Linked DNA regions of Notamacropus eugenii. The protein of the gene in region 1 interacts with the protein of each later gene in a pairwise test. Links are inferred from orthologs where the notes say so. Each region holds a gene or a part of one and is shown in the gene's direction. Other genes may lie near its edges.

What was found.
Region 2: the proteins of HOMEZ (region 1) and DEF6 interact in binary tests that used the Homo sapiens proteins (3 or more experiments, as listed by UniProt). The two-hybrid records come from large-scale screens. The link is inferred for Notamacropus eugenii from reciprocal best matches to the Homo sapiens genes HOMEZ and DEF6.
Region 3: the proteins of HOMEZ (region 1) and LRRC7 interact in a two-hybrid assay, tested with the Homo sapiens proteins (2 studies listed by BioGRID). The two-hybrid records come from large-scale screens. The link is inferred for Notamacropus eugenii from reciprocal best matches to the Homo sapiens genes HOMEZ and LRRC7.
Region 4: the proteins of HOMEZ (region 1) and SH3RF2 interact in a two-hybrid assay, tested with the Homo sapiens proteins (2 studies listed by BioGRID). The two-hybrid records come from large-scale screens. The link is inferred for Notamacropus eugenii from reciprocal best matches to the Homo sapiens genes HOMEZ and SH3RF2.

Annotation. Positions count from the first base shown.
Region 1 is NC_092878.1:9,849,518-9,857,786, forward strand, and holds the start of HOMEZ (homeobox and leucine zipper protein Homez), read left to right. Parts: upstream 1-5,127; 5' UTR 5,128-5,582; coding exon 5,583-5,628; intron 5,629-8,269. UniProt on the Homo sapiens protein: May function as a transcriptional regulator.
Region 2 is NC_092873.1:92,281,761-92,289,021, forward strand, and holds the start of DEF6 (differentially expressed in FDCP 6 homolog), read left to right. Parts: upstream 1-4,026; 5' UTR 4,027-4,100; coding exon 4,101-4,289; intron 4,290-7,261. Other genes in the region: ZNF76 (zinc finger protein 76), read left to right, coding at 157-318, 793-906, 1,908-2,012.
Region 3 is NC_092873.1:530,276,219-530,283,650, forward strand, and holds the start of LRRC7 (leucine-rich repeat-containing protein 7), read left to right. Parts: upstream 1-4,355; 5' UTR 4,356-5,740; intron 5,741-7,432.
Region 4 is NC_092872.1:374,989,931-374,997,430, forward strand, and holds the start of SH3RF2 (E3 ubiquitin-protein ligase SH3RF2), read left to right. Parts: upstream 1-4,291; 5' UTR 4,292-4,383; intron 4,384-5,843; 5' UTR 5,844-5,989; coding exon 5,990-6,370; intron 6,371-7,500. UniProt on the Homo sapiens protein: Has E3 ubiquitin-protein ligase activity. Acts as an anti-apoptotic regulator of the JNK pathway by ubiquitinating and promoting the degradation of SH3RF1, a scaffold protein that is required for pro-apoptotic JNK activation.

The DNA of each region.
Region 1 (8,269 bases):
TGGCAAGGAGGGAGGGTGGATTCCCCTCAGAAGCGGGGCTGCCACGGCTGCTTTGGCCTCTGCAGCCCACCTGCGCTCCTCTGAGTACAGGTCAGCAAGAGTGCAGCCTGCGGCCACCCCCGTTTAACCAGACTAGCACAAAGATCAATGGAAAACGTGTGTTAGGAGAAAGGGCACCGTCAGTAAGAACCGCGCACATGTTATATTCTAGAAGCAGATCTTTGATTCTCACTTCCCTGCATTACTACATGTCATCTCCAGACATGGCTTGAACAGGTCAAAGGACTGGGGGAGGAGGGGAGGCTAGAGTGGGGCTTTTCAGGCTGCTATCCCCTGGATCATGGCTGTAACAAAGCCTGTGCAGTGTTAGCAAAGGTCTGCTATAGAACCTGGGTCCCAGGTTCCCTTCCTGATGCCTTCACCCCAACATCAACCTCCATAGAAGTTCCTCCGACCTTCTGCCCTGGAGATCTCTGGGCTCATCTCTCCTTCCAAACTCTTAACTTTGCAAACTACAGTTTGTAAGGTGTATTCTTACAAATAACCTAAGTACTTTCCTGCCTGGTTGGGTCAGAAGCTGTGTCCATAGAAGTGCAACGAAAGGGTACATACTAGAAGCCAGTTGTAAGGCCTCTTTGGAAATCTGATGAGTGGTAAGTGCAGAGCCTGACTGAGGATATGAGAACCCTAATGGACTCGAGCGCCCTCTCTCTGCAGGTGTTCTCTTCAGCTCCAGTTCAGTGGAACTCTGGGGCTCAGTTTCTGTGACTCCTGGTTATCAGTTGGAATTCTAGGAAGCTGAGCAGATGTCTCTTACGCCTCCTCAAAACATGCACCCACAATACATGTAGTCATGAACCGCACTGATGACTTGGTTTCTCTCCTTACTGGGTTAGTCAGTATTCCTATGCCTGCTGTACATTTCTGAAAGGAGTGTGGTATGCACCGCAGTGCTCTGAAGCTTTCTGGGAGGGCTCTCTTGGGGTTGTGCTGTTCCCTGCCTGAGCACTAGAAGATGAACCCCACTACCTCCTGGACTGAATTCTCATTTTCTCTGTCCTCATACCCTTCCATGCACACATTTCACGCAGCAGCACCATGGATTCCACCAATCCTGCCACCCAAAAGATGTCAACGTGTACATCTATCTTCCCCCACACCTACCCCCTTCTCCTTCCAAAACTTTGCTACCCATTGACTTTCTGTCCACATCCTTAACAGGAAGACAGGCAACACCAACCATCCCCAGAGTGATACACTAGTTTCCCAGGGCTGGCCCGGCCCAACTTACAATGGAAGAGACTTCAGAGTACAGTGAAAAGGAAAGTACAGGGGTTAGGTTATTTCTCTATTCAAACATTAATAATGTGACAAAATATATCACAGAAAATGCCAAGCAACAGAAAGTAGTACCATAATGAAAGGGCACACATTCACTCGTTTTGAACAAGAGGTGTGATCTGAGGGGAAAGAATTATGAGATGGTTGGAAAGGGGGCTTCTTTGTGTTACCAGATGCCATCACTTGCACCTAAATTGTAGCCTTCAGCCATCTGACTTCATGTTACTCCGGGTTCCAAGTCTTGTTTTTTCATGTATAGCTCACAAGGGATGGTGGTAATTCATCATCACTGGCTCTCAGAATCACAAAATGTGTTAAAGCTAAAAGGGAACTTCAATTGTCTAGTCTGGCTGTGTTAGGAGACTGAGGTCTGAAGAGGTTTGGTAACCTATTCAAGGTCACTCAGACGAGCTAATGGTAGCATTAGGGCTGTAACTTGGGTCCCCTGTGTTCTTTCTGTATTAGTTCCTAGGACTAGATTTTCCCCAGAAAATCTCCGGCCAAAAATACTTTCTCATTCAACAAACTCCTAGCTTTTTGACAAAGGTAAAAATAAATCAAACATCTGTTTCTCTTCAAACACTATCTTTAGGCAAGAATTTTCACTGTTCCTCTCCTAAGCTTTCTAAATGTTTCAGTTCAGCAGACTTTATTAAGCACCATAAACGTGCAGAGCATTGTGCTAAGTGGTTGTAGGTCAGATGAGGAATATACAAAATCCAGATAATGCAGGGTCCCTCCCTGCACATACAGAATCTAGTCTGGGGTATGACAGATACATAACAGCAGCAGTCATAGGAAAAAGCAACCCTGTGCATCATTAGAGAGCTGCAGCCTGGTCTGGGAGTTCCCAGGAAAGGATGTGAGGAATGGTGGTTACCACCTGAGACTGGGGGGCTGGCAGAGGACTTGGGGAGGCTTTCTGTAGAAGGTGACATTTCATTAGATTATGAAGAACACATAGGAATTCAACAGGTCTGTGGGAGTGGGGAGAGTATGACAAACAAGGAACTGTGAAAACAAAGGTCCCCAGACAGTCAAGTATAAGATACAGCAAACAGTCAGTTTGACTGGAGCATGGTATATGTAGAGGGGAATAATATGAGGTTAAGCTAGAAAAGGTAGAGTGATACCTTGGATTACAGACAAGAAGGAAGCTTTGAACAATTCTGAATAGGAGGGCACAACTAGATTAGTGCATAATGCAGACATCTGGCAGTAGGGGGAAAAGATGGCTTGAAGGACGAGAGCAGAGGCAGAAAGACCTATTAACATTTAAGCAGGTAATCATGAAGGCCTAAGCTAGGTTAGGAATGCTGGAACTGGAGAAGATGCAGGAGATGCTACAGAAAAGAGTCAATTGATAATGGTTGGCCTGTGAGAGGTGTGGAAGAGGTAAAAAAGAAAAAATAAAAGATGGTGACAAAACAGTCCTCAGAAGAGAGAATGGTTTTGGGGTTTTTTTGGAGCATGTGGAATGAGTTTGTAGTTGAGGATAGCTATGTGGAGCTCAGGAGAATGGTCAGGGCTTGAAACAGATCTGGGATTCATTTATGTAAGGACCACATTGGAGAGAAGGGATGTGCAGAGAGAGGCAGTAGGGAGAAAAGGACTGAGAAATACCTTCCTTAAAGGGTCAGGAAGAAGAGAGAGATGGAGCCTTCCAATTGAAATTCTATGATTCTAAGCCATTAGAGAAAAGAATCAGAACACTGTGATGTCTAAGAAGCAAGGGAAGAGAAAGTATCCAGTAGGGACTGGACAGTTACCTGGAAGTAAAGGTATATGAGTACTGTCATGAGGCAATAGAGTTCTAAGTGTGTTCCCTTTATTAGAAAGGTTGGCACTTGCCAATAAAATGGATCCTCAATAGCCAAAGACCTCAAGTTGGGGACAGGCGGCTCTTTTATAGTGATTAACAAGATGACAATAAAATCTCGACCAACACAGGCATGCCTTCTGATGGTCTAGATGTTTCATGGAGGAGGTGGGATGAATGTTTACTCAGCTCCCCCCCATTACATCACTGGAAAATGAGCTCAATTCTCAAGTGATGACGTCAGTCTGTAGGCAGTGGGAGTTGCTACGGCAGTTGTGAACGATGAGCCTGACCTTTACCATGCAAGTTTCTCCAGAATGTGGGGGAAAGGGGGAGGGAAGGTCAAGTTACCAGAGTGGAGGTACAAGTCTTCAAACTAAACCAAAGTGACCTGAGATTACCTGAGTACACTTGCAAGGTGTAAGGGATTTAGACTCACTGGGAAAGAAAGTATTAAATCTATGCTGGCTTAGTTAAGTTTTAACAAATAGAATTAAAAGTTAATTTTCAATTTCACAGGGCTAAGAAAGGTCATTAGGTTTTGGCATTAAGTCACACCTTTGAGAGGCCACTTGCAGTTGAGTTGTGTAGGACATAAAAATGTAAGGGGTTGTGGAGAATGGTTCGTATAGAAACATCAGATATAAACAACTTTTTGTTGAAGATTGGTAGTGAACCAAAAGAATGCCTCTATGTAAGAATTAAGTAAAGAAACTAACTGATAATGGCACAGGATGAAAAGACTGTATTATAATGAATTATAAGTGTGCTTTATAATCTGGATTAGTGGAAGGAGTTGCCCAAAGAAGTAAAATCATAGATCCACCAGAATATTGGCAGTGAAAGGAAAGAAATAAATGGGGTAATTGTTGGATTTGCTAGAAAAGTGAAGGAAAGATTTGGAGGGGGCGACTAGAAAGATTTGACCATGTTTATAGTCTTGTGAGAATGAAGCAGTGGAGATAAAGAGGGTGTGTGTGTGTGTTTTGGGGCAAGGGAGTTGGTTCAATTACTGGAACAAGGTCCTGGAAGGAGCTGGGATAGAGAAATACAAGAAATGGGTGAAAGGGGTCAAGGGCACAACTAAAAAGACCAGCCTTTGCAAGTAGCTGGGGATGCAATTTCTCTGAAGTAGGATATACTGATTCCATTCAACAAATCAGAGCCCTTTGGATGGCCTCCGTCTTCCCATTGAAATAGGAGACTGTTGCCTGCTTGGAAAAGGTCTGATAGTTTGAGAAAAAGTTTTACAATGTTCACAATGGGGTATATAATGTTAAGAAGTAGTAAAATGAACTGATGAGTTTTTCCTCTGCCCTCAGCCCTTGCCTTCCATTTTACTGGAGATAATAATGAACTGAAGTTGTCTGAAGGCTCTGAATCCACGATTCTAACAGCAGCAGATAAGAGGAAATTAAAATCGGCTGAATGTATACTTGCATCCTCACCCGTGCCCTCACATCCCATAACACTGTATGCCTCCAGTTCCAGCATGACAGTATGCCCCCAACCTCTCTATTTTACGATCTTGCGCCTGATTCGGGACCACCCATCTGAACACAACACCTTCCCTTACCTCTTTTCCAGATAGAAAACATTTTTCTAACAAATAAAAAATAGAATTAAAATGGAATCTCAAACACCTGCATAAGCAGATGTGTTCTGGGTCTGGGAGAGGGGATTTTGTTAAAAAGTGGGCAAATAGGCATCCCCTTTGTCAGATGGGGCAGCACCCTTCTACCAAAACAGCTGACTTTTCAAAGTCCCATCAGAACCTTGCTCCTGGTTGGTAAACCTGTGCAAGGTGAGGGTGTAATGGAGTGGGGAAAGGTAGCAGAAGTTTAAGGGTCATAGTAGGACACTTACCCTAGTGGTTTTCCAGGATCTTTCAGGCAGTGGAAAAGCCAATAGTGGAAAATTTGGAGTCCTTTTTTACATATATCAACAGCTGCCACTAGTCACAGGAACCACCTTGGGAAAAGAGCTCAGTTTAATTCTTCTTTAAAGCAACCCCCAAATCTTGAGTTAGTGAGGGGAAGGGTTCCCTGAGGGTTACATCCTTCTGTGCCATTGGTCATCTTACAGGCAGGCGTGAAACAGGGAAGATAAGAAACGATATAGAGAAGCTATAAAAGCCTTTCTGCCCTGTCTGGAATGGGACAGCAAAGAGTAGATTAATAATAAAAGAAGAAAATGAGCTTTCCCCCACCACCACCACCACCTTAAAGGACAAAAACCTTCAAGTCTCCTCCCCCATCCATCCTGGTGGTGGTACAGTCTGACTGACTCTAGCTTTGGGGCCAGAATCTTCCTACCCCTGGAAGGCCCTGGGGCCTGCCCTAGTTACATCATAATGAATGAGCTGTGATGTCACTACAGCTTGTCCCCGCTTCCCACCAAGGTTTTTTAAGTAAAGTCTGATATGCTGAAGGATAAACCCACCATGAGGAGCAGAGCCTCAGAGCGAGGTGAGTGGGGACAGCCTCATGACGCCCGATCCTCCTAGGCTCTCCACCACACTCCTGCTTTTCTCCCCTCGCCTCCCCCCACACTGCTCAGTTCCTCCCAGCTTCATCTTTTGTGGTCCCAGGCCACTATTCTAAAAATTACAAGTAGCTTCTCCAGCTTCCACTAGCTTTGTCCCTTCACGCAATCAGAGAGAGCATACTCGTGGCCAATAGAATCTGACCAAACTCATGTGCAAAGTGCATGAGCAAAAAAAAAAAAAAACTGAACAAACCTGAGAGAACTGGTCAAGTTGAGGGAGGGAAAAATCCGCTTTGCTTCCATACTCATTTCTAGCCATAGGAAAAGTGGTTTTGTTCCCTTTACTGCTTCAGTCAATCCAGTCTTTCTTGTGCTCCATTTTCTCTCTTCCCTCCCATGGGAAATAATTTTTAAAAGAATAGAGGGAGTCTCTGTGCTCCCTTCCCCCTTGTGGACTCTTCCTGAATTCAAATCTAGCCTCAGACATTAGCTGCGTCACCCTGAGCAAGTTACTTAGCTGTTAGCCTTGGTTTCCTCATCTGTAAAATGAGCCAGAGACTGAAATGGCAAACTACTCCAGTTTCTTTGCCAAGAAAACCCCAAGTGGAGTCAAGGAGAGGCAGAAGATGGGAGCAACAAGGCACTTGCCATCCCACCCTCCCTTGGTCTTTCCAGAGCTAGCTCTTCCACCTCTCCTGAGCCACAAAAACAAGATGCAATAGTCTGCCCAGGGCTAAGTAGCTGGGGGAAATCCCCACAATCTGTTTCCTTTCCACCCTCTATTCTGGTTTTAGAGCCACAGTGGCATGTCTTTGCTGGTCAATCCAGGTTTGTTTCATTTAGGTCCTATCCTCTAGACTACAAATTTAAAGCTGGAATGGAACTAGAAAGGTCATCCAGTCCAACCCTTTCATTTTCTTACAGATAAGGAAACTGAGGCCCAGAGGGATTTGCTCAAGGTCTTCTGACTACAAATCCAGTGGCCCTTTCCACAGAGACTCTAACTTTGACCAAGCCTGCACTGCATGGCGTGGACAAATGTCTCTGGCTTCCCTCCTAACTGAAAGTGATGTCATCCAGGGCTCTAACCTGAGTGGAAAGGTTCTGGGCCTTTACTGTGGATCTGTTTGGTGAAGTTTTGTCCCCAAATGATTAACATTACCAAATTTTAGTTTGAAGGATACCTACACAATATATACCGACTGGTGGGCAGGAGGGGGAGCAGGGATCATGATTACATGTAGTTGTATTTCAAAATTCTGAAAGAAGACTCCTGGCCAAAAACAGTCCTGACGGACCCCATCACAGTCTTGCGCAGTTCCCTACAGTCAGGCTATCTGATAACCAAAAGGACTCTAGACCCTGAAGCAGACCAGGAGAGCCTAAAATGGAAGCTGGAGTTCTCCCTTGTGAGGGAAGAATTGAGGCCCCTGTATTGAGCAAAAAACATTTCATCTCCCTCAGGCTATTCCCTTCCCTTTAAAACATAATGACCCTTACTAACTACCTAGCAAGGTGGTTACAAGAAGAATTCCATAGGAATAAGAATTGAGTGTACTGTGAAGAGGACCCAAATGGCAAGAAATTAAAAACTGCACAAGAAAAGGTGTTATGTAGTGGAGGGCCAAGGGGACGGCAGAGCCAAGTCAACCAGATGGGTTTCTTAAGCCCCTGCTGCCTGGCACTGCGCTGCCCACTGGAGGTAGAAACCCAAGCAGAAAGCAGTGCCCGCTCCCAAGGAGCTCACAGTCCGACAGGGCTTGGGAAGGGGGTGCGAGGAGAACAAGCACGAAGATGGGGTGCTTGGGAGAAGCTGGGATGATCAGAGGAAAAAGGAGCCAGAAAGGCTTCCTGGAGATGAGCTCCGAGTTGGGGCGGTGTCTGAGAAGATGAACGGAGAGCCCTGCGGGTGACACGGCGTGCCCTCGAGGATCTAGAGCAGAGGCTGCCAGACGTTTTTAAGAGAACATTTACTTAGTGCCCACCTGGAGACCTACTTTATTTAGCCCTTTGCCTTGGTTTAACTTCCATCATTTTTTCTAAACTGATGCAGCTTCAATCTAGTAGCTGGCTGTAGCTTTGGGAGGCTTTTCCCACACTGAAGTGCTGCCGACAGCAGGCCCGCAGCCCGGCACCGCACAGCGCGGCACCGCACGGACCCCCGCCAGCTTACCCCCGCAGTGACGTTAAGCCGCCGCTCGGCCGGGAAACGAGTCCGAGCACGTGTCTGGGACGCCTCCCCCGCCTCCCGGACGGCCCGGGCCCCGCCCACGGAAGGGCCCCGCCCACGGAAGGCCCCGCCGGCGCGCTCCCAGGCTCCTACCTGGTCGGGGCAGAGGCCTGGCCGCTAGGTGGCCGGAGCCAGGGCTCCGCCCCGGCCGCCCACGCGCGCTTAGTGTGACCCTGGCCCAGTCACTGCGGGCCTCACCTTCCTCCTCCGTCAGCGAGCGGCACAAGGGAAGGGCAGAAGCACTTCAGGGTCCGGAACGACTGAACAAAGGGAAGGAAAGGCCTACCAAAGGCACCATTCCTTCTCTTGCCCTCGACTTAAGCAGCCGCCCTCTCGGGGTCTTTTGGCCGGCGGGTCTCCAGGGCGCAGTTTAGCCGGGAGCTTTTCTCTCG
Region 2 (7,261 bases), on another chromosome or scaffold:
AGTATGTTAATAAACGTTTGTTAAATTGTGAACAGAACAGGTTATGAATTTATAATGCCTACAGGAAAGATCTGATAAACAGCTAACAAAGGGCATCCAGGGATTTGACCCATGGCCAGAATAATTGTCTCTTACCTTCAGACCTCTTCCCTACAGGTCAGTCTGTCGCCTGAAGACTTGCAGGCCCTAGGAAGTGCCATTAGCATGGTCACTCAGCATGGTGGCACGACCCTCACCATCCCTAGTCCTGAAGACCTTGCCACCTCCAGCACACACACTGTCACCATGGTCAGCGCCGACGGCACCGAGACACAGCCAGTATGACCAAGGGTTTTTGTTCTCTCTCTGTCCTTGTCAGCGGAGGCATTCAGCCATAGCTGGAGTTACTCCACACCTCTTAATGCTCTAAGGATGTTCTTTCCCCTTCAAGAGAGACTCCTTAAGTCGATATCAATGTCATCTTAAAGACTGACAGATCTGGAGTCAGGAGACTCGTAGTTCCAGTCACCTGCCTTTCCTCTGTGGGCTTCGTTTTTGTACTCTATAAAATGCGGCTGTGGGAGGTGGGACTCAGTGAGCTCCAAGGTTCTTTAATGTTCTAAAATTCTGTGCTTTGGAACTCATGGGCCAGGTTAGATTGGGTAAAGGCCAGTCTCATTCAGCTCTGAACCGCTTCTGAATCCTGATAGTCTTCTCCATTTTTTTCCTTGGTCTCTATGAGATCCTTATTCCAGGATGCCTAGAAATGTCCTGGGAGAACAACAACAAAAAACAAACTTTTCTGTGTTTCAGGTTACCATCATAACCTCCGGGGCCATGGTGACTGAAGATTCAGCGGTAGCATCCCTTCATCACCAGCAGGTGGCACTGTTGGCCACGGCCAATGGGACTCACATTGCAGTGCAGGTATGTAGGCTGTAGGGAAGCCGGAGGAGGAGCAGGATATTACGGTAATCCAGAGAGAAAACAAATGTGAAATGGAATTTTAGAAAAAACCTATTTCAAGGGAACTACTTCTGTGACTTCTCTCAGACCAAAGTCTCTGCTGCTGGGCTCATGGACAGAGTACCAAAGGTGATCTACCCATTCCCCCTCTCTGTGGTACTGCTCATCATCACTCTTTGTATTTCTGATAAGCTTGACCTCCCAGAGAACACTGGTACGACCTGTTTACAGAGAACTTTACTTACCTTATTTTATTTGCTCATCCAGAAAGCTCTGTGAGATGATGAATGCACATTTTATTATTCCCATTTTACAAATGTGGTGACTGAGGCTCAGAACAGAGACATTTTTTGAACCTAAGGTTTGGTATCAGAAGTACCAGGACCACAGCCCAGGCTTTCTAACTCCAAAGTCAGTATGCCATCCATTGTGCCACAGCTGCTGCTGCTTCTCAGTCTGGCAGGGTAAGGTGCTGTTGTGTAAGAAGTACACTGGGCAACACCAGGAGACCTCAGTCTGCCAGTAATTCACTGAATTACAGATTCATGACATCTCAGGGTGGGAAGAGACTTCAAAGGCCAACTGGTCTAACTGACGCTGGACAGAGTAGGTAGCTGTGTCACCTTGTCAATGTCTACTCTCTGAGTTTTGTTTGTAATCTCATCAAGGAGGAGAAAGGGAGAGATTAGATCATCTCTAAGATCCTGTTTAGCTCTAGAGGTCCATGCTGCTATGATTTTGACTTCTTTTCCCCTAGGAAATGACCCAAGCCCATTAACCCTCCACATCTCCTTGACAGCGTTTATTCTCTTATGTATCAACCAATCAACAAGCATTAGTTGAGTTTATTGAGTACTTGAGGTACAACTAGAATCATGGTAGATTTTGGAGGATACAAAAAAACCTGCTTCTTGCCTACAAAGTGTCACATTCTCTTTCTCTTCTTCTCACCCCATTTGTAGCTGGAGGAGCAGCAGACTTTGGAAGAAGCCATTAGCATGGCTACTGCAGCCATGCAGCAGGGTGCTGTGACCCTAGAGACATCTATATCAGAGAGTGGCTGTTGAGACCCGAGAGCAAGCTGGGTCCCACACAGTGGCAAAGAAGATGCCTTGTGGTACAGGCGTCACTCTCTACAAGCGTCCAGGCTGTGGATGAACCACGGAAGGTGGCCACGTAGAGGTCGCTGAGCCAGAGAAAGCAGCGTTGAGAGCAGCATAGTTGGGGGAAAGGGAATGGTTTTGCCATCAGTAAGGGTGGCAGCCAAAATGGGGGAGTTCTAGATATCCTCAGAAGGTGAGAAGGACCCATTGGGTCACTAGACTGCCCTGGGGCTCCCACTGAAGCCTGCTGGGTGCTCTTCTTCCTCTTGAGAACACCCTATTGCCCCTTACCCCTTTACTTAGGACAGTGAGTAGAGGTCAAGGATGCCGTGGGGGCTGGCCTTTTGCCCTCAGGTAGTTGCTACCCACTATGTGGGAGGCCCCAGCAGAGGCAGGGGAGGGGGGAGCACCTGGCTCCACCAGAGGATATTCTGGAGCCCCTCAAGCCACATACAGCAATAACTATGGCAGAGGGTGGCCAAGATGTCCAGGCAAATGGCAAGAATTTTCTGAGGGGGCTATGGCAGACAGGAGGAAAGAAGCAGTCTCCTTCAGCCTTCTCTCAGCCATTCATACTGTGGCTGGAGCAGAGTGGTCCCTGCACTTAGATTGCTGGGTTTGGGATTTGTGTGTGTGTGGTTTTTGTTTGTTTTTTAATTCCATTTTTATAATTTTTTTTTCTGCTAAGGGTGATGGTGGCGAGTGGGTGGATGCTTATTTAATAAAAGTCCCAAATTTCTGTATGAGTCGGTCATTGCCCCTTTGTAATAGAAACCAGCAGCAAGACACTGATCTCAGTAGCTCTGAGCCCCCACTTGGAGCCAAGGGAGCCCTGTGTTTCTCTAGCTGTGACTAGGATGAAGTGCCAGAGGTAGGATGATGGTAAGGAGATAAGATTTGGCTTTTTGTGGTGTGGGGTTATATAGATCACATCATACTGTCCAGGCAGATCCATTTAAGTCCCATCTTCTCAATCCCTCCGCCCTTCTCAAGAATGCCAGGTTTCTTTGCTACCTACAGCTTCCAGACTCCAGGAGAATTTCAGCCCCATGTTCATTTCTCAGCAGAGAGCTTTCACTGTGAGACTTCCCTGTTGTGCAGCGTGGCCTGGACCTAGTTGGCAATGCCCTGTGACCACAGATAAGCCTTTTATATGGTGTCATGGAGGTAGCGTTGAACTGGCTATCCAACAAGATCACCCAGGTCTGGGTGACTCTGGACAAATTATTTAATGCTTCCTGAAGCTGAGCTTCTTCATTCATCTATAAAATGGTGACAACCATACTTAGAGTCCATTCCTCCTTGGGTTTGTATGTGTGGCTAGAAATTACCCCAGAAAAATACTATAGGGATGAATGACCCTCTTCCTCCACAACAAATGATAATTAAACAAATTGAGCTTTGCTCTTGGGGAGCCCTACCCTTTCTCCATCTTGTTGGAAGCATCTGGAGATCAATGCCCCTGATTCCCCTCTAGAGTCTCACTCCCCTAAAGCTGGATTAGATGTCTCTCTCATATGGATTAGGGAGGACCTTCTGAGTTAAGATCTAATGAGGTTTGGGAGGGACCATGCCATAAATTCCCTGGAGAAATGCTGTAGGGAGTTGGGTTGGGGGGGAGGCTGGGAAAAGGGAAAGGGTTTCAATAATTTCATATGAAGAAAAGGGAGGAGCAAAGCATTGCCTGTTTTACTAATTTCCCCATTTGCTTCTACCCCACCCCTACTTGAGAGGAGGTGAGAGCTGTAGAGTGGTGGCACTAACTTCAGAGGCTTACCAATGTAACTACTGAGGATAAGCATCTTCCACCCCTTCCTCCACCCCATCACCAAAAAGTCTCCATGAACCAGAGTGGTTCACTTAGTAGAGTGATCTTAGGAACCACCCCCACCAGCTCTGTAGGCCAAAGGAGACCCTGGTGAGATCTGTGCTTTCAGGAGATCGGCAAGTAAATAAGGCCGGTTCCTATCTTGGATACCCACCCCCCTCTCCCCTTCTGAGGAGGAACCTAGAGTACTTCAGAGCAGGCAGGTGGAGCTAGTGCTCTGTAGTATGGCCCCTCTGCGGTCTCCAAAGCCGTTTGCATTTCCTGAAACCGGATCTCCTGGGTGTCAGAGCAACCTCCGGGTCCCAGGCTTCTCGGCCATGGCCCTCCGTAAGGAGCTGCTCAAATCTATCTGGTACGCTTTCACAGCCCTGGATGTGGAGAAGAGCGGCAAGGTCTCCAAGTCCCAGCTCAAGGTGAGGCAGAGGCCCCCTTGAGGGGCCCAGGGTGGGAGGAAGGGACGAGAAGCCAGGGGAGAGGAGCCTTTCACTGCCCCTACCTCTAGCAGGGCTTGCTCCTGTACTGCCCCAGGAGAGCACCATCCTGGCAGTACGGGTACCCAGAGCCCTTCCAAAGGAGCTTGGGAGCCACGACTGGAGGGACCAATATCATATCCTGGTGGGAGGCTTCTGTTCAGTGTGGGACAGCTCCAACAAACCCCCTACTACGGGCCAGGAACTAGTAGAGACATGAAGGGAGATTGTGGGACTTCATAAGAGGGTAGTGAGATCCAAACTCAGACTCAGCACACGTTCCGCCCCCCCCCCCCCCCCCACCCCGAACCCTCCTTTCGGTCATACCGGGACGCGTAGCCAGCATCTTCCTGCCCCATTTCCTCTGGCAGCTTTGAAAGGAGACTGTTAGAAAGCTCTCAGTCACTTCCTCTCAGGGCCTAGGGGCTGCATCTCCCCTGCCCCCAATCCGTGTAGATTCAGGGTAGGTCTACTACCCCCAAGGACACAGAAGAGAAGCTCCCCCAAACACCCCTCCTCCCTCCACTGGAGTATTGCCTGGCCCTCCCTGTCAGAATTCAGTTTGAAGAACTACTGCTTGAGGCCATGGTGGTAGTAGTTAGCAAGGGGTATATGCCAGTGTCTTCTTGAAAGGCAACTGCCCAGCAGAAATCTGCCACCTATGTGACTGTGGACTGCAGATTCTCCTTCCCTCTGTCCATTCCTGGAACAGGTCTGGCAAAGAGGCAAAAAGGGATGCAACTGCCCTACTAATGGGACTGTGATGGACCCAACCTGCTAACCCTTGAAAGGCTTCACGAACTTGACATCCAGGAGGGAGGCTTTTCAAATATCAGCCACTGTGCTAGGCAAAGCCCAAAATTCAATAATCCCCATGATGATGTAATATATGATAGAACAATCCCCCCAAATGAAATAATTCCTAGCCTCAAGGAATTTACAAAGTCCATTTAAGAGGTGAGAGGCACTGGGAGCTGGAGAAATCAGGGAGAGAGCCTCATGGAAGAAACAGCTCTCAAGATGAAGAAAGCTCCACGAATTTTAGGAGGCAAAGATGAGGAAGGAGTGTATTCCTTGTGCAGAGGGATGGAGATGGAGTGACATTTATTAGAATCTGCAAGAAAGCTCATTTAGTTGAACCATATAGTGCTTTGACATGTAATAAGCCTGGAAAAAATAGGGGCCAAATTGTGAAGGGTTTAAATGCCAAACAAAGAAATCTGTATTTGACCCTGGGGACAGGAGTTCTCTGAGGTTGTGGCTAAAGGGATAAAAGGTAAAAAAATTCATCATAGGATCATGGACCTAGAAGTGGCTCAGAGGTCCCCTAGTCCAACCCCATCATTTTACAGGTGAGAAAAAATGAAGCCCCGGAGAGGAATTGAGCTGTAGAATAATTGGATGAAATGAGTGTTTATGTCCCACCCAACTTCTTGCCTCCCTGAATCCCAGGGCCAATTTATGAGGAAGAGTTGGAGCCCTTGGGACTCTCACTGCTCCACTGATCCCTCAAAGGGGTTCCTGGGGACTAATTCCTGGCAGTCTGATCAGTCACTGCAAGTCTGAGCAAGTCAGCGGGCCTCCTAACCTGGTTCTCTCTTCTCCCCATCCACCCAGTGGCACAGAGCTCTAAGATTTCCTCAGGTGGCTGGGCTAGAACCACCCCCACCTCCCTGATCCAGGGAGGCAGGGAGAACCACAGCATAACTGCTTTTGTCTTGATTATCTCACAGCCCCATTCAAGCCTGCACCCACAACCCCAGTTGACTCTATCCTTAAAATCTGCCTTTAGGATTTTCAGGTGCCTCTGGCTGGCAGGACCCTTTACAGATCACCCTCAGTTAGTCCAGTAAACATTGATTAAGTACCTACTATATGCCAGACCTGGGCTAAGCACTGAGGATACAAGGAAAGGGAGGACAATCCCCACCCTCAAGTAGCTCACAATTGAACACATAATAAAAAACTGTACCCTGTATGGGCAGCATAGTGGCACAGTGGATAGAATGCCCAGCCTGGAGTCAGGAAGACCTGAGTTAGAATCCAGCCTCTGAGACTTATTAGCTATGTGACTCTGGGCAAGTCACTTAACTCAGTTTGTCTCAGTTCCCTTATCTGTAAAATGAGCTGGAGAAGGAAATGGCAAACCACTCTAGTATCTTTGCTAAGAAAACCCCAAAAAGAGCCACAAAGAGTTGGAAATAACTGAAAATGACTAAATGAACAAAAACAAACCACCCAGAATGGGGGAGTATCGAAGTCCTGGGACCTTACTTTTAGTGGAGGATTTGGGAGGAGGTCTCCTATATCTACTCTCTATCCTTCTATCACTGCCCCATAACTAGGGCAGTTTTTCCTCTTAGCCAGAACCACTGAAATTTAAGGCTAACAGACTTTCAAGGAAGGAGATTCCATAGCCTCCTGAGTAATGTCTTGGAATATCAACAGATTTCAGAAATATTTTTTCCCCTTTATTCCTGATTACCTTTTGCTACAGAAATGTGTAGTTTTGACTCCATTGCCTGAATACTAACCCCCTCTAGATTTTTAAGTCTGTTAATTCAGTGTCCCCCAACTCCACCCTTAACCCAACACTTCCATCTTGCCCCAACTCCTTTTAGCTTCTAGGTGCCATTGATTTGTCCTCCATCACCAGGGAATCCTGGAGTTTTCTCCATGTTCCCTGTGCCCCCTGTGTGCAGGGGCTTCAACCCAGCCTATGGGCCTTCCATTCTAGCTACATGGTCAACCAGAGAGGCCAACCCAGTCCAGACCTATGTCTGGTTCCCTCAAGTATTTAGGGATAGTACATTCCCCAGGGAAGGGTTTGGTTATTTGGTTTACATTCTTCTATCACCATGGGGGTCTAATAGCTGCCCATGACTCTTTACAGCTACATCTTAACTTGAATGGGA
Region 3 (7,432 bases), on another chromosome or scaffold:
ATGATCGAGATATCACTATATTCAAATCATTCAGATTTGAAAAGAGAAAAATAGGGTGAGGGGGAGCAAAGTCATCAAATATATTTGACAGGTAATTTTCATATGGACTAGAATTCTTCTACTTGGGCTTACAGGGAAGATCTAGGAACAGTCATTGAAGCTGCAGTGAGGAAACTTTAGGTGGAATGTTATGAAACATTTTCGAACCACTGGAACTGCCCAAAGGGGGAGATAAATCCTTAAATAAAGTGGACGTAAAAACAAAAAGTGTCAATAAAAATAAGATTAAAACTGGAAAGAGAAAAATCAAAGATAGCTCTTCTATGAATCCCTGATTTTCCTAGTTATTCCTATTGCCAATGTCATGACCTGACATAGCATTTTGTTTTGTAATTCTCTGATACTTTTCCTAATAGTGTGCATTGAATCTGTCATGTGTTTGTGTTTTATCTTTTTAGATTGTAAACTCCCTTGGGTAGGCCCTATTTTATCTATCTATCCATACATCTATTTATCCATCCATATCTATCTATCTATCCATCTATATATATATATTACATACTATCATCTAGACAAACAGTCATCTACTCATCCATATTTATCTACGTAAATCTATCTATCCTATCATCTATCTGTGCATCCATCCATCCATTCATCCATATCTATGTATCTATGTATATTTCCCCATCCTATCATCTATCCATCCATTCATCTATCAGTCCATATCTATGTATGTATATATATATATATATATATATATATATATATATATATATATATAAAACTATCCTATCGTTTATCTACCTATCTATACATGTTTACATATCTATCTACATATGTCTATCCTATCATCTACCTACCCATCTATATCTATCTGTCTGTCTGTCTGTTTATCTATCTCCCTTTGCTTAGCACAGTAGTATGCATGCCGTAGGCACAGAACGAATGAATTTCAGAGGGCCCGACTTCAAATCCTGGTTCTGCACTTTACTAGCTTTGTGACCTTGAGTAAGCCATTATCTTATTATCTTTCTCACAAGGCTATAAACCATAAAGTGCTTAAAGTCCTTCGGGAGAGATCATGGCTTACCTGAGGTCACAGAACTAGTAAGTTTGTGTGACTATGCATGTATATACAGAGGTAAATGCATGCATGTATATATATATATATACATATATATGTGTAGGTGTATGTATGTGTGTGCATGCATGTGTGTGTGTATGGTATTATTATTGGCATTGCCTATCTTTTCTTTAGAGTTCAGTACATGTCCTCCTTACTAGAATCACAGTTCTCAAGGTGAAGGAAACTCAAAGGTCAAATAGTCCGATCCCCTCATTTCACCAGCAAAAAAACTAAGGCTCAACAACATTAACTGATTCAACCAAGGTCATACACCTTGTCATTAGTAAAAAAGAATTTCCACTTTAACTGGAATATTGAAAAAGAATCTCTGACAACGTGAATGAATCCCTAATGGTGGATTTTCGAGCATTCTGGCAGGAAGGTCAAGGATGTATTTTGGGAGAGGAGTACCATTTCCAATGGTAAATCATTATACCACAGTAATAATTTTGCCTGTATTGGAAGCAGATCTTGGAGACTTTAAAGAAATGGGGGTATTTATTAGTATGCTGTATGAATTCTTGATTTTTTGAGTATACTTGGGCTATCCTTCAATGCTGCATCAAGTTTCCCAGACTTAATCTGATGAATGATTGTCAAAACTTCCTTGATCCGAGTTCTTAAATTGTGGATTTTTTTCTTGGCTCTTGGACTTTGCATGACCCTAAGGGTATTTTCATATTCATTTGTGGCCAATTTTAAAACAATCATATGTACTTTGGAAGAATTGGTGTAGGACAGCCCAGAGTTAGTTTAAAGACAGAATTTCCATTTGCATTTCAATAATCCAATTCTATGAGACTATTGAAATATTATAATATGGGACATTGTTCAAAAAGTCGAGATGGACAAATTCTATAAGAGATTCATAAATCTTGTACAAAATCGGGGCAGTATGCTCAGGGCCCATCTTGAAGAAGAATATTTTTCTTCTTTTGCATTGTTTTATAATGAAATCACATGTCAAAATACCTAAGAGCTCACAGTAGCCATACATGCTTTCCCAAACTCTATCCATTGAGTTCTTTGCTGACTCATGTGTCTAAGGTCCAGGAGTCAGAATTAGAGAAGGAGAAAAGAAGGCCATGATATTATTCCCGCAACTCCCTTAGAGCTCAGGAAAAGACAAAGGGGGAAAGGCTCCAGAAGGCATTCTAAATTCCCCACTCTGATGCTCACTTGTAGGTAAATACTCATTTCCCAGGATCCTCTAGGCATCCAATGCGGAAATGTGTTCATTTTTAGGAGAAGACAATAGAGAGACAATGTTGGTGAGGGAAGGCAATCCTACCAGATTTGGTAAAAGTGCACTTGGTGTGAAGCACTATGTGAAAGTTGTGTGGGAAACTCTGTGGTACTGTAGTGCAGCCAGATACTCTACTATAAGCTATGGACAGAGAAACTTAAATGAAAGGATCCCTATCCTCAAGGAGATTACAGTCCACTATGGGAAATAGAAAGTGTACACAAAATGGATTTAAAGCAATTCTTGGGGTGAGAGAGGATGACTAACAACAGGTGAATAAGGAAGGGCCTCCTTCAGGAGGAGGCCCCTAAAATACACCTTGAAAGGAGCCAGGAGTTCCCAGGGGATAGAGAGGAATGGCCCACAGAAAACAATTCAATTCAATTTACTAAGCATTAATTAAGTCCTCACTGTATTCACGGAGCACCAGGCTAATTCCAGGCTTCATGCCAGACATGCCGGACTGCAGCAAGCAAGCGTGTAGGAAGGACATGCAATACCTCATCGTGGGTCCAACCAGCCGGAGGCCTATTTGCAGGGGTGGGAGGAATGGTGTTTGAAGGATAGCCGGGTGAAGGCTTTAAAGGCTGAGCTAAGGACCAACACCATTGAGCAAGTTTTTCAAACTAGTTTTTAGTTTGCTCGTCTTGTTTTCCCAGTTCTCGTTTTCACATCCCACCCTGGATTATCCACTGGTGTAGGAAAACCGGACGTGACCCTACTAGGGAAAGAGAAGGAAGCCCGACTTTGGAAAATGCAGTAATTTGTCCCCTGAAATCATGTATTTCCTCCTCCTGACAGTTCAGTTACTCTGCAATCAGTGCATTTTCCAGCACTTACAAAGTCTGCTTTGGTGATGATGAGGCTTTCCCCGATTCTCCCCAGTCCAGCTTCTCTCCCTTCCCTTCCTCAGTAGAATGAAACAGCAGTTTCTCTCAGTCATCAGCCAGCTGTTCCCGGCAAAATCCACCTTCCCTGGCTGGTTACCCATCCGATTAGCTACCCATCTCCCGAATTCCTTTCCAGACAGTTCCTACCCAGAGAGAGGATGATTTTTGACCTTGAAGGGCTTATTCTCCCAGACCCACAATTGGGAGAACGTGCCTTGCGTTGGGATGTTGTGTGCACTGCACTGGGGAGCATGCACTGCACGCCTGCATCGACTCATACACCACTCCACTTGAAGGTAGTTTGAAAGATGAAATGTCGCCCTTTAGCTTGCTTAACATGAAGAGAAAAGTAAAAGCTTAACCTCTCCTCGCACGGACCACTCAGCAGTATTTCCCAAAGAAAATTTCTGGGTATGTATGTATGTGTGTATGTATATATGTATGTATGATTGTACGTATATGAACGTGTCTATCTCACACCAGTCACTAAAAAGACAGAGAAAGAAATCCATCAAATGTGGGGGATCTAAAGCTGTGTGCAGAATAAGACCCATTTCAAATTGTCACTTTCCGTCACTCCTCCCTCCCCAAGCTCTTGTGGTTGCTGTGGAGGGAGGGGGCTATTTTCAGTGCTACTTGGCCCGCAGACACTTCCAAGAGTTTGACAGCCAACTCAGTGGCCCACAGGAGAGAAAAGGTGCCTTTGTGTGCTACCGTGATAAGGGGAATAGGAGATGGATGGGTAAATCCTAATGCTGCAAGTCCTTTGTCGCTAGGAAGTGGCCACTCCCAGGGTGGGCTTGGAAGATGGGGCGCTAAGTCCTAAACGGTGGGTGTTATACCGACTGCATCTGGACAAGAGACGCCCCCCCCCCCCCCCGCCCCTCTTCTTGGTAGCCTGGGAGGGCGGGGTCCTGGGGAAGCAGAAGCCGGGGAGAGGAGACACTCTGCCCCTGCTGAAAAAGCCGCGGCCACGGCGGCAGCAGCAGCAGCAGCAGCCCCAATCCCAGTCCCAGCCCCAACCGCAGCCCCAGCCCCAGCAGCAGCAGCCTCAGCCCCAGCAGCAGCAGCAGCAGCAGGAGCAGCAGCAGCAGCAGCCTCTGCAGGAGCTCCGAGCCCCGAGCTGCACTCAGCGCGGCTCCAGCAGTCACGGAATCTGTGGGGGCGGCTCTCCTAGCACGCACGCGGAGGCTGGCGGGGAGCTCTTTGCACCGGGACCGGCTGCTCCAGGGGAAGGCGCGGGGCGGCGGGGACCCCAGCGCCACGGCGGCGGACAGGGACTCGGGCTCGGAGGGAGACTTGGGCCGGCCCTCAGAGCAGCAGGCAGTCTCTGCCGCCGCCGTGCACCCGAACCAGCGAGCCCCAGCGGGCCAGGCTCCGGGGCACCCTCCTCCCCTGGAAGCCCCGGGCCTCGGCAGCAGCCGATGGGCTCTAGCCTGGGCATCCTCCGCTTTCCCCGCGGGGTTTTTAGCCGAGGAGGGGGCGGAGGCTAGCTCAGAGGGGAGGGGCGCGGGGCGCGTAAGGGCTCAGTCTCCACCCCTCGCTGGTCCGGGAGGGGGGAGAAAATCTCCTTGACATTTTTCACACTTTGAAGCCGTTGCTGCAGCCGGTGTAGTCCTTCCTACCAGGGGGTGGGGAGCACCAGCAGGAGGAGGAAAAGGAGGAGGAAGAAAGCCAACAGGACGAGGGGGGAGGGGGTCGAGTAAGCCAGGGAACGAGCGGGGCTGCCAGCCACATGCCCTGCCTCGCCGCCTGCCCACCCCGGCACCTGTGAGCCAAGCCGCCGTACTGAGGCGAGGCGAGGTGGGCAAGGCGGGCGAGGCCCCCGCCTCCCGGGCCAGCTGCCCCGATCCCCCAGCGGCTTCTGGCCACCCTCAGCTATTGAGACTGCCACCGGCTCTTTTAACCCCCTTCTCGCTTCGGCGTTCGCTGCACACCCAGCGCTCCTTGGGGATCTCCCCCCCCCCCCAGCCCCGCCCCGCCTGGCACAGGCACACAGAGGCTAGGAGTCGGGGGGCACCGTTCGACTTGCCTCCTCGCCTTGCCTTTTCCCACCAGGATTTATTGTCTGTGGAACCTCCTGGGGGGTGGGGAAGGAGGTGCCGTTATCACTGCTTCTGCCGCTGCTGGTGATTGGGTGGCCGGCCAGGCTTGGCACAGGCTAGAAGAGTTACCGCTCTACTCCCACCCCCAGCCTGCTGCTAGTCGCTGCCCGGGCTTCCCCTCTCTACGGCTTCCCATGGGAACACATCCAGCCGTCCACCTGAAGGGCATCGGCATCATGGTCTAGCCTTGGACCTTCCTGGAATTCCCTTTCCTTTTCCTCCTTTCCTCTCTAAGAAAAGGAGAAAAAAAAGATTCTCCACTCCCACTCTACTGCGGACACTGGAACACACACACTTTAAGGAATAACCATTTGCAGCCGAACGTCTGGAGCCTTGGGGAGACTCATGGATAGTTCCTCCAGGAGCCTGCAATGTGAGTACCCTACCTCCTTCTCTTCCCTGGGCCCCTTCCCTCCCTTTGGAGAGGGGCTGCTGCAGTGGTCAGTTTCCTCGCGGTGCCTGCTTCCAGGCACAGCGCGAAGGCGTGAGAGCAGCCGGGCTCCCTCCTAGGCTCAGAGTCCCGAGGAGGAGAGGGCAAGCAGGTTCAGCCTTAGGCTGCCCGCGATCACCCGGCGCCAGCTACTGCTCTGGCGCTGGGACAGCGTGTATTTCTCTCGGGGGATGGCCACTAGATCGGTAGTAGATTGCGGGAGGCGTTTCAAAGGTCCTGGCGGGAGGTTGGTAGAGGTAAGTGGGTAGACTTCACGGCCAGAGTAAGTCTAGTAAAGGGTTACATACTGCGAAAAGGGTGTGGGGAGAGGTATAGAGAAGGAGACATTGCTCCAACAGTTAACAGTAAGGAGGTCCAAGAAAGGGGTTCTCAACATCAGCTTGGAGATCGCGCCGGCAGCTGTTTCAGGGAGATGCCCAAAAGACTGGAGTGGCTGTTGGCTGTTGTGATAGCTGCGGGCACACTCTCGCTCACTCGCACGCGCGCACACACACACGCACGCGCTTGCACAAACACGCGCGCGCGCGCACATACACACACACACACACACACACACACACACACACACTTGTAGCAAGGGAACATTAACCCTCGCTGCTCACCCTTCTGTTGTCCCCTGAGGTGCGGTTCCTATTTTGGTGCTGGGGTTGTTAGGAAAATGCTTCCAAGCTCTTTGTTTGACCTGGGTGCTGGAAAGAAAGGGGTTTCGGGTATCGGGATGAGGAGGGGCGAGGGCGAGGAGATCGGGGGTGGTCGGGTGCAGACGTGCATTTAGAGGCAGAAGGATTTTCCTCTCCTCACCCCAGAGACCTTCCCAAACTCGAGCTTCTGGTTTGCATTGTGCCTCGGGAAGGTGCTGAGAGTGGGTAAGCGTGGACTGTGGGGATTTCTGCGCTTTTGTCCGCTCTCAATGTCTCTGCGTTCGTTCTCCCTGCTGGACTCCTTAGCAAGCCGGCTGTATGTTACAGCCTCCACTGAAAGAGGGAGAAAAGAAATGATTGTAGTATTAATAACTGCATCCTGACCGCCAGCCCATGGCTCTCATTACTATATAGCTCTGGTATTTCTATGCTAGCACAGTCAGCAATCTCCAGAGGGCCGCGTTATTATCTTTTTAAATAGCTTTAATATGTGTCTGTTTTTATTAGTTAGGGGATTGCTTTCCACATTACAGTGCTCAACTGCAAAAGGGGGAGGGGGGATTGGCCCAGCCTCCACCCTCCCTCCCCTCTTGCTCTGTCTCCTCCCCATACAAAGCGGACGAGGGGGAGCAGTGCAGCTGAGGTGGGGGCTTGCAGAACATGGAGATACACTTGACTAACTCATAGAAATAAACCCCAACCAAACCTCCTTTTTGGAAAAGGGGTGATGGAACCTCTCCTACGTCCCATCCTTCCAAGAAGGAGAAAGAGAGGGTTGCTAAGACATCTGCTTGTGCCTTCTGCTTACTTTCGCAAGGTACCTTCAGTTCGTTGAAATCACCTGAGGCGGTAACTGGGTCAGTCTGCATCCCTCCGTACCCCCTTCTCCCAGTACAGTGTGCCCCATGCAATTTGGTCCTGTGGTGGGGGAGAAGCGGTTTTATGGACCCGTGCATTCGAACCTGGGGAAAGT
Region 4 (7,500 bases), on another chromosome or scaffold:
CACAGAAAGTCAGACACAACTGAAAAAAAAATGATGAAATAAAAAAAGAATTAAGAAACCTCTTGATGAGGATGAAAGAGATGAGTGTAAAAACTGACTTGATATCAAAAAAACTAAGATCTTCACAACTGGTTTCACTACTTCCTGACAAATAGAGGTAGAAGAAATGGAAGCAGAGTCAGATTTTTTATTCATATATATATATATATATATGTATATATATATGTATGTATGTATGTATTCAGATAGATAGATAGATAGATAGATAGATAGATAGGTAGATAGACAGGTAGATAGATATAGATGACAGCATACTAAAAAGCAGAGACATTACCTTATGTTGTTGACAAAGGTCAGTAGTGTTAAGGCTATGGTTTTTCCAGTAGCACTGTATGGCAGTGAGAGTTGGATTGTAAGGAAAGTTGAATGATGCAAAATTTATGCTTTCCAATTATAGTTCTGGAGAAGACTTTTGAGAGTCTTTTAGACATCAAGGACATCAAATCGGTCAATACTTAAAGAAATTAATTGAGACAATTCACTGGAAGTTCAAATGTTGAAGTTTAAATACTTTGGCCATGTAATGAGAAGACAGGATCCATTGCAAAAGACCCTGATGGTGGGAAAGCTTGAAGATAGAAGGAAAAGGGGACAGCAAAGGATGAGATGGATAGATAGTGTCATAGAAGCAACAAACATGAACCCTGACAGACTTCGAAAAACAGTTGAGAATAGAATGGCCTGGCATGCTATATAGTCCATGGGATCATGAAGAGTGATGAAAATAACCAATGTTTATTGATTGATTGACTACATGACTTGAGGCCCCTTCTAAGCTCTGAGGTTCTTTGATTCTAAGATTCTGTCATTGTATGATCATCATGGACTTAAGTGATGATAGCTGAGTACCTATTGGCTGCTCAGAGCTGTGGGGAGGGAAGTTGAAGTATTAGAAAGCAACTATCAATGAAAGACCAATCAAGGAATGAACATAAAGTTTGGTCTGATTTAAAAAAAATTTGCTAAAATTCAGATTGGACTATAACTTTTCAGGAACTTGACTGTTACATAAAGTGAGGTATATTTGCAAATATAAACAGCAGGTACAAGTGTTTTATATATATGTATATATGTATATATACATATACATATATATTTAAGTATACTACATATAGCCAACGATATCTTTACAAACACAACTGCTGACAACAGGCTACATGTATAGTGGAGGGAAAAAAGAAGTAGGAGCCTAGAGTCTGGAGAAGTTCACTTTGTGGGGTTTTATTTGTTGGTTTGTTTATATTCTTTAGATATTCATCTGAACTGCTGCCAAATAAGCATTTAAGAAGACTGGGGAAATCCTGATTTAATACTATCCTCCTGCCTCTGAAGATAAAGGAGCAGCTACCAACAGAACTCCCTCCCAAGGTTTCAGTCAGGATTAGTCATCCCCAAAGTATGCCAGATGGTCACCTATATGGTATATTATAGGGACCGTTGGGAAGACCCACTGCTTCTCCTGAATGATGTTCACTGCTCTGGCAGTGATGTCTGCAGTTCCACCAATGGCAATTAATTCCTTTGAGTACAGTATTGCTTTCACCAGGTTTCTTCTTTTAAAATGCAAAGAATTCCAGCACTGGCAATATTAAGTTCCTTATCAATAAGGGGTATTAATATTGCTAATGATGATAATTAATAAGCATCTTATGAATTATTTTATCTTTTGAGTTCTTCAGTGAAAGCATAAAAACATAATCTTGTACAGGAAAAGTACTGCTAAAAATGACAAGGATGGAACAGAGGGAGATGAGGAAGAAGAGAAGCGAGAAGTCTCACATTTTGCATATAAATAGTATAATACAAAGGTTTGCATATGTATGTGAAAATGTGTATCTATACATATGTTTCTGCTTAGCACAGTGTCTGGTATACTGTTGTTGTAATTCAGTTGGGTCGGACTCTTTGTGACCCCATTTGAGGTTTTCTTGGCAAAGATACTGGAGTGGTTTGCCATTTCCTTCTTCAGCTCCCCACTTGCCCAGGGTCACACAGCTAGTAAGTGTCTGAGGTCACATTTAAACTTGAGGAGTCTTCATGACTTCAGGGCCAGCACTCTACCCACTCAGCCACTCAGCCTGGCACAAAGTAGCTACTTAATAAATGTTTACTGACTATATGTCCTGTCTCTGACTAATATGACCCTGGATAAGTCACTTGAATAACCAGGTCACTTTGTAAGACCATAAACTATAAAGAAGGTGTTGATCAACAACAGTAGAGCAAATTCTTCACCCAAAAGAGGAAGTTCTCCTGCTCCAATAAAAAAGATAAATGCTTGCATATGAAAAGTAATGTGGCACAGGAGATAGAGCCTTGGAGCCAGGAAGACATGGCAAGTCTTGACTGTGGTACATTCTAGCTCTGTGATTCAGGGACAAATCATTTAACCTGTCAATGCCTTCAGACAACTCTCTAAGACTATAAGAGGGAGTTTTCACACAGGGACCTTCCTTGCCCTAATGAAATCACTGGTCTGGTCCTACCTCCTCCCCCAAGAATGAGTTACATTTTCCATTAAAACAGAAAACAATGTTCACATGCATCTTTCAAAAAATTTGTTTGGATAAGGAAGCTGCCAGATAGATCGGGAGTTGGGGAGAAGGAACAGGTTATAAATTTATGGAGTAAGGAACAGAGTAGAAGGGAGGTAAAAGCCAGTAACTTCACGTGGCTTTCCAAAGGACAACAAGCCAAGGCCAGCAATTATTTGGAAAAGGTGATAAGGGCAAAGCAGGAGCTTAAAAAGGAGATATATGTATAAAAACGCTATAGGAATCTATAAAATTGAACAGAAAAATATCTCTCAAAATTGGTTAGCTATGAAGTAAAGTGGTTAAGACAGCTAGGTGTGTGTGTTCGTTCTTCATTGCCGAAGAAGACCATGCCATCAGAGAAACGATGACATGACTTGCACTTGACTTTGTTTTGAGTGAGGGAGGGCTGTGCAGGTCACCAACCTCACTTCTCCTCCAGAGCCATCTGAATCAAGTGACCAGATGTTCATCAGGATTACTGGAAATGACCCAAGATGAGGCAGTGACACTGCCTTGAGGCAGTGAGTTAAGTGACTTTTCCAAGGTCACACAGTTAGTGAGTGTCAAGTGTGAGAGGTGAGATTTGAACTCAGGTCCTCCTGATTCCTGCACTGGTTCTCTATCCACTGCACCCCCAGGTAGCACTGCGGATAAAGCATTGGGCTTAGAATCAGGAAACTTTGTTTTCATGAGCTCAAATTCAGCCTCAGACACTTAATAGCGGTGTGATCCTATGCAAGTCACTTAACCTTGTTTGCCTCTATTTCCTCATCTGTAAAATGAGCTGGAGAAGGAAATGCAACCACTGTAGTGTCTTTGCCCAGAAAATCCCCAAATAGGATTACAGAGAGTTGGACACAACTAAACAACAACAAAAAGTGGTTAACCAAAAAAAAAAAAAAAAAAAAAGTTATGCTCAGAAATATTCAGGTTCTACTCCATATCTACAATACATTTTCTTTTGGGTGGATATTTTTCAGAACAACATTGGGCAAAGTTTGAAAAACTAAAATAACCACTCCACCCTAGTCCATTGTCTATTCCCATGTATTTATCTTAATGTACTTTTTAAACAATGGAAGAATTATAATGTTATATTGTGAGAGCGTGTAATATGGGAAAAGCACTGAGCTGGAAGTAAAGACAATTTGGATCTAGTTCCAGTTGTCATTAACTACGGACCGTGAACTAGTCACTTCACCTCTCTTGGGTCTTTCATCTGGATATGAAAGTATCAGGCAAGCTGACCTGGAAGATCTCTTCCAGCTGGCGCAATTATATGATGGGTCAAATCCTGGACGTGCATTTATGTTATTACAAATAGGGATTAGGGGAGGGTGGGGGTCATTCTGAGGAAACCTTCAGGAGGGTTCAAGGTTTCAAATGAAGGGAATGATGTTGACTTTGATCATGACAGAGACATGTTTCAACTTCTTAGACTAGCGAGTGGAAAAGGTGAACGTGCAAACCATACACGTGCTTTGTGCCGGGGGTTCGCTGTTATTGACGCCCTCCTAATCTTGTTCCCCAATCTCGCCTTTTCCCAGAAATAAGCAGGGCGGCAAAAAAACAATGGGCTGCGCCGCAGGGAGTGTGCTTCCTCCTCCCGAAACCTGCCGAGCGTCTGCAGCCCGGCGGCGAAAGCGTTAACAGAGCTGGATGAGTAAGCCGAGCCATCCAAATGAGTAACATACATAGTTGTTAAAGTTTTCAAGGCGGCTGCAGCTCGGAGAGAAGACACGAGACACTGGGGCTGAGCTTCTTCGGCAAAGGTCAGCGGCGTGAGGTTAGTGCAGGCTCCGGCTGGAGCTGACTGCGTACGGGAGCGAGCCAGAGCCTGGCATCTTTGAGGGAAGCAGGGGAGCGGGGGAGCAGTGGGAGTGCCCAGAGCCAACTCTGCATTTAAGGTCTCTCTGGCTGCTAGGGGGCTGACCGCCACCCTTTCTTCGCCTCCTTCCCAAGAATTACTCAGTAGGCACCAGCGCTGAAGCCTGGCTTAGTCTGCGTGACAAGCGTCGGACTTCTCAGAGAGACTTAGCCCTAGCGAGTTGGGGAGGGCCATTACGCCCATCAGGAGCAAGGACGGGATTTCTGAGGCTTGGGATTTTGACTTTCAAGACACACACACACACACACACACACACACACACACACACACACTCACACACGAAATCACACCTGTGAACTCTGGACTCGGCTTGCTTTTTGCAAGTTGTGGCCAACAGTCCAGAATTCCTTTCTGTTTCAGTTAAAACAAGTGTTGTCAAAGTAGCTAAACAGGCTCAGTTACTTCCCGTTGTGGGAGGAATATTGCCTTCTGCGGTTGTCTTAGATAATCGTGCTAAGTAAGCAGAGGGAGGCTTAAAGTGACCAGTTTGCAGTGTGGGGTAAAACTGTAATTGAAGCAGGTTGCTAGGTGAAAGGTTTCCCATGCATTGCTAAGAAATCTCATTCAAGAAACGTATTTAACGTATTTAAAAGATGCTAACCTTACAACTGCATACTATATTGCTTTGTAATTAACTTTTGGGGGGCGGGGGAGACGATCCGAAGGGCAGAATCGTGAGGGACTCCGGATGTGGAAACAGCCTTTACTGGCAATTCCTCAGTAATTTAGTTTTACAAGAGGCCTTTCCTGATCCCTCAGTTAATAACGCACTTCTCTCCAAATTATTTTGTACTTATTTGCATGCTTCCCCTACCCTACCCCAATAGAATGCCATGTGTCCATGGGCACAAAGTGAGTTTGTATCCAAGGCAGGACTGCCTGACTAAGATTGGCCCACTATCTGCTAAAGCAAGCTGCCTCTTATTATCAAACACATGCCTAGAAAAATGAGGAAAGAAGGTCATAGATCTATATCCTCCAAGAGGTTTTGATTCTGCTGTGAGTTAAAAGTTTTCAGAACTGAGACGGAGGCAGGTTTGTACTTCCCAACCCACCTCTAGCTTCCATCTACAGGTAGGAATTAGCATAGACACTTCAATATGAATTATTCACCTTGGATTTTGGCTTTCCCTCTAAAACTCCGGTTACTTGTCACCCAACTGAAAGCCCCCCTCAGATTCTTGCTGCAGGCTTGAGAGGCAATGCTGTACCTGCTATTACTAAATCACGACTCACTTGAAACTTAGATGCCGGGAACAAAGTACACGCTTGCAAATTGCCTTATGAGGCACTGCTTCACATTGTAGGTGGGATACATTTCAAAGCAGTCACATTTTTTGTCCTCTCTTTTTCTTCAGACATCGAGGTTCTCTGAAATCCAGGACCCAGCTGGTGTTCTCCTGAGGACTGATCTGACCTGCTCCCCCATCCCCCACTCTTGTCTCAGGTCACCTTACCATGTGGACTCTGTCCATTCAGGCCAGGATTGGAGTTTTAAAATAAGATGGATGATTTGGCGTTACTTGATCTTCTGGAGTGTCCCGTGTGTTTTGAAAAGCTCGATGTCACAGCCAAAGTCCTCCCCTGCCAGCACACCTTTTGTAAACCATGTCTACAGAGGATATTCAAAGCACGCAAGGAACTGAGGTGCCCAGAATGCAGAACCCTTGTCTTCTGTGGTATTGAGGAGCTCCCAGCCAACTTGCTCTTGGTGCGTCTCCTGGATGGCGTCCGATCGGGTCAGAGCATGGTGAGAATGGGCTCCATTCGAAGACCTGGCATACTGACCTCTCAGGACCCAAGCAGGAAAACCAGGACAGATCCCAGAGGTTCGCAGCCCAGTCCATACCGACTGACTCCCAATGCCCGAATCCACATGGATGGGGTAAGAAAGTATCTGTTGATATACTGTCACGTCGAAGACTGGATTGTGAAATACAAATGGCTAAGGAGTACTTGATTTTAGTTGAGTCTTCACTTCTCATAAAATTTCTGGCTTCAGTGAATTTACTTACTGTTTATTATTTTTGTGATGGACCCAAGTTCAAAACCAGCCTCAGATACTTGCTAGCTGTGGAACCTTGGACAAGTCACTTAACTTTTGTCTGTCTTTGTTTCCTCATCTGTAAAATAGGGATGACAATAGTATCTAACGCCCAGAGTTGTTGCAAAAGTAAAATGAGATAATATTTGTAAAGTATTTTACAAATCTTGCATCTCTATATAAATGCTAGCTATTATTATCCTTTTTGCTTAGCTGTGCAACTTGGTGAGATCCCAAGTATCTCCAAAACTCTACAAACAGTCTAGGAACTCTTCTTATACCTGCCCACTTCTAGAGTATTTTTATAGATTTCTGGTTTTTCCAGGTTCTTCTGCTCCAGGAAGTAATAGAGATGGATTTTTTTTAAACAATATTTTTAAAACACTTTTCACTGTTGCTCTTAAGGAACAAAACCAATAAGTGGGGAAACATGATTAAAAAAAGAAGGGGACATTTTTAAACTGCTTTGTCTTCGAGGTTCAGGAAAGTTTCCAGATTCAGTTTTAGTTAGATTTTCGCCCCAACCTATCCCTTTATTCCAATCATAATATGCAATTATGACAATGCACATTCATAATTGCTAAAAATTATCAAGAAATTAAAATCTCAAGGATGAGGCAGGAAAAATATGTGAAAATGGATTTATTGATCTACCTACCCCCACCATGCTATGCCTTGACATCTGTAAAATTGGGGTAATAATAACTCCTGCTTCACAGAGTTTAGTGGGGATGAAATGAGTTAACAGAAAGTTTGTAAACTTTAAAACACTATATAAATACTATTATTATTATTATGATTATTACTAGTATAATAGATGAGTATTACATTGGAAATTTATATACTATTAAATAAAGACATGTTGGTGACTGTCATAAAAAACAACTAAAAATATTAATGGCCCACAGAATTCTGTATATTTAAACTTCTTATGCTATAAGTATGTATTTTTGTCTCAGCCTGGTGGCATT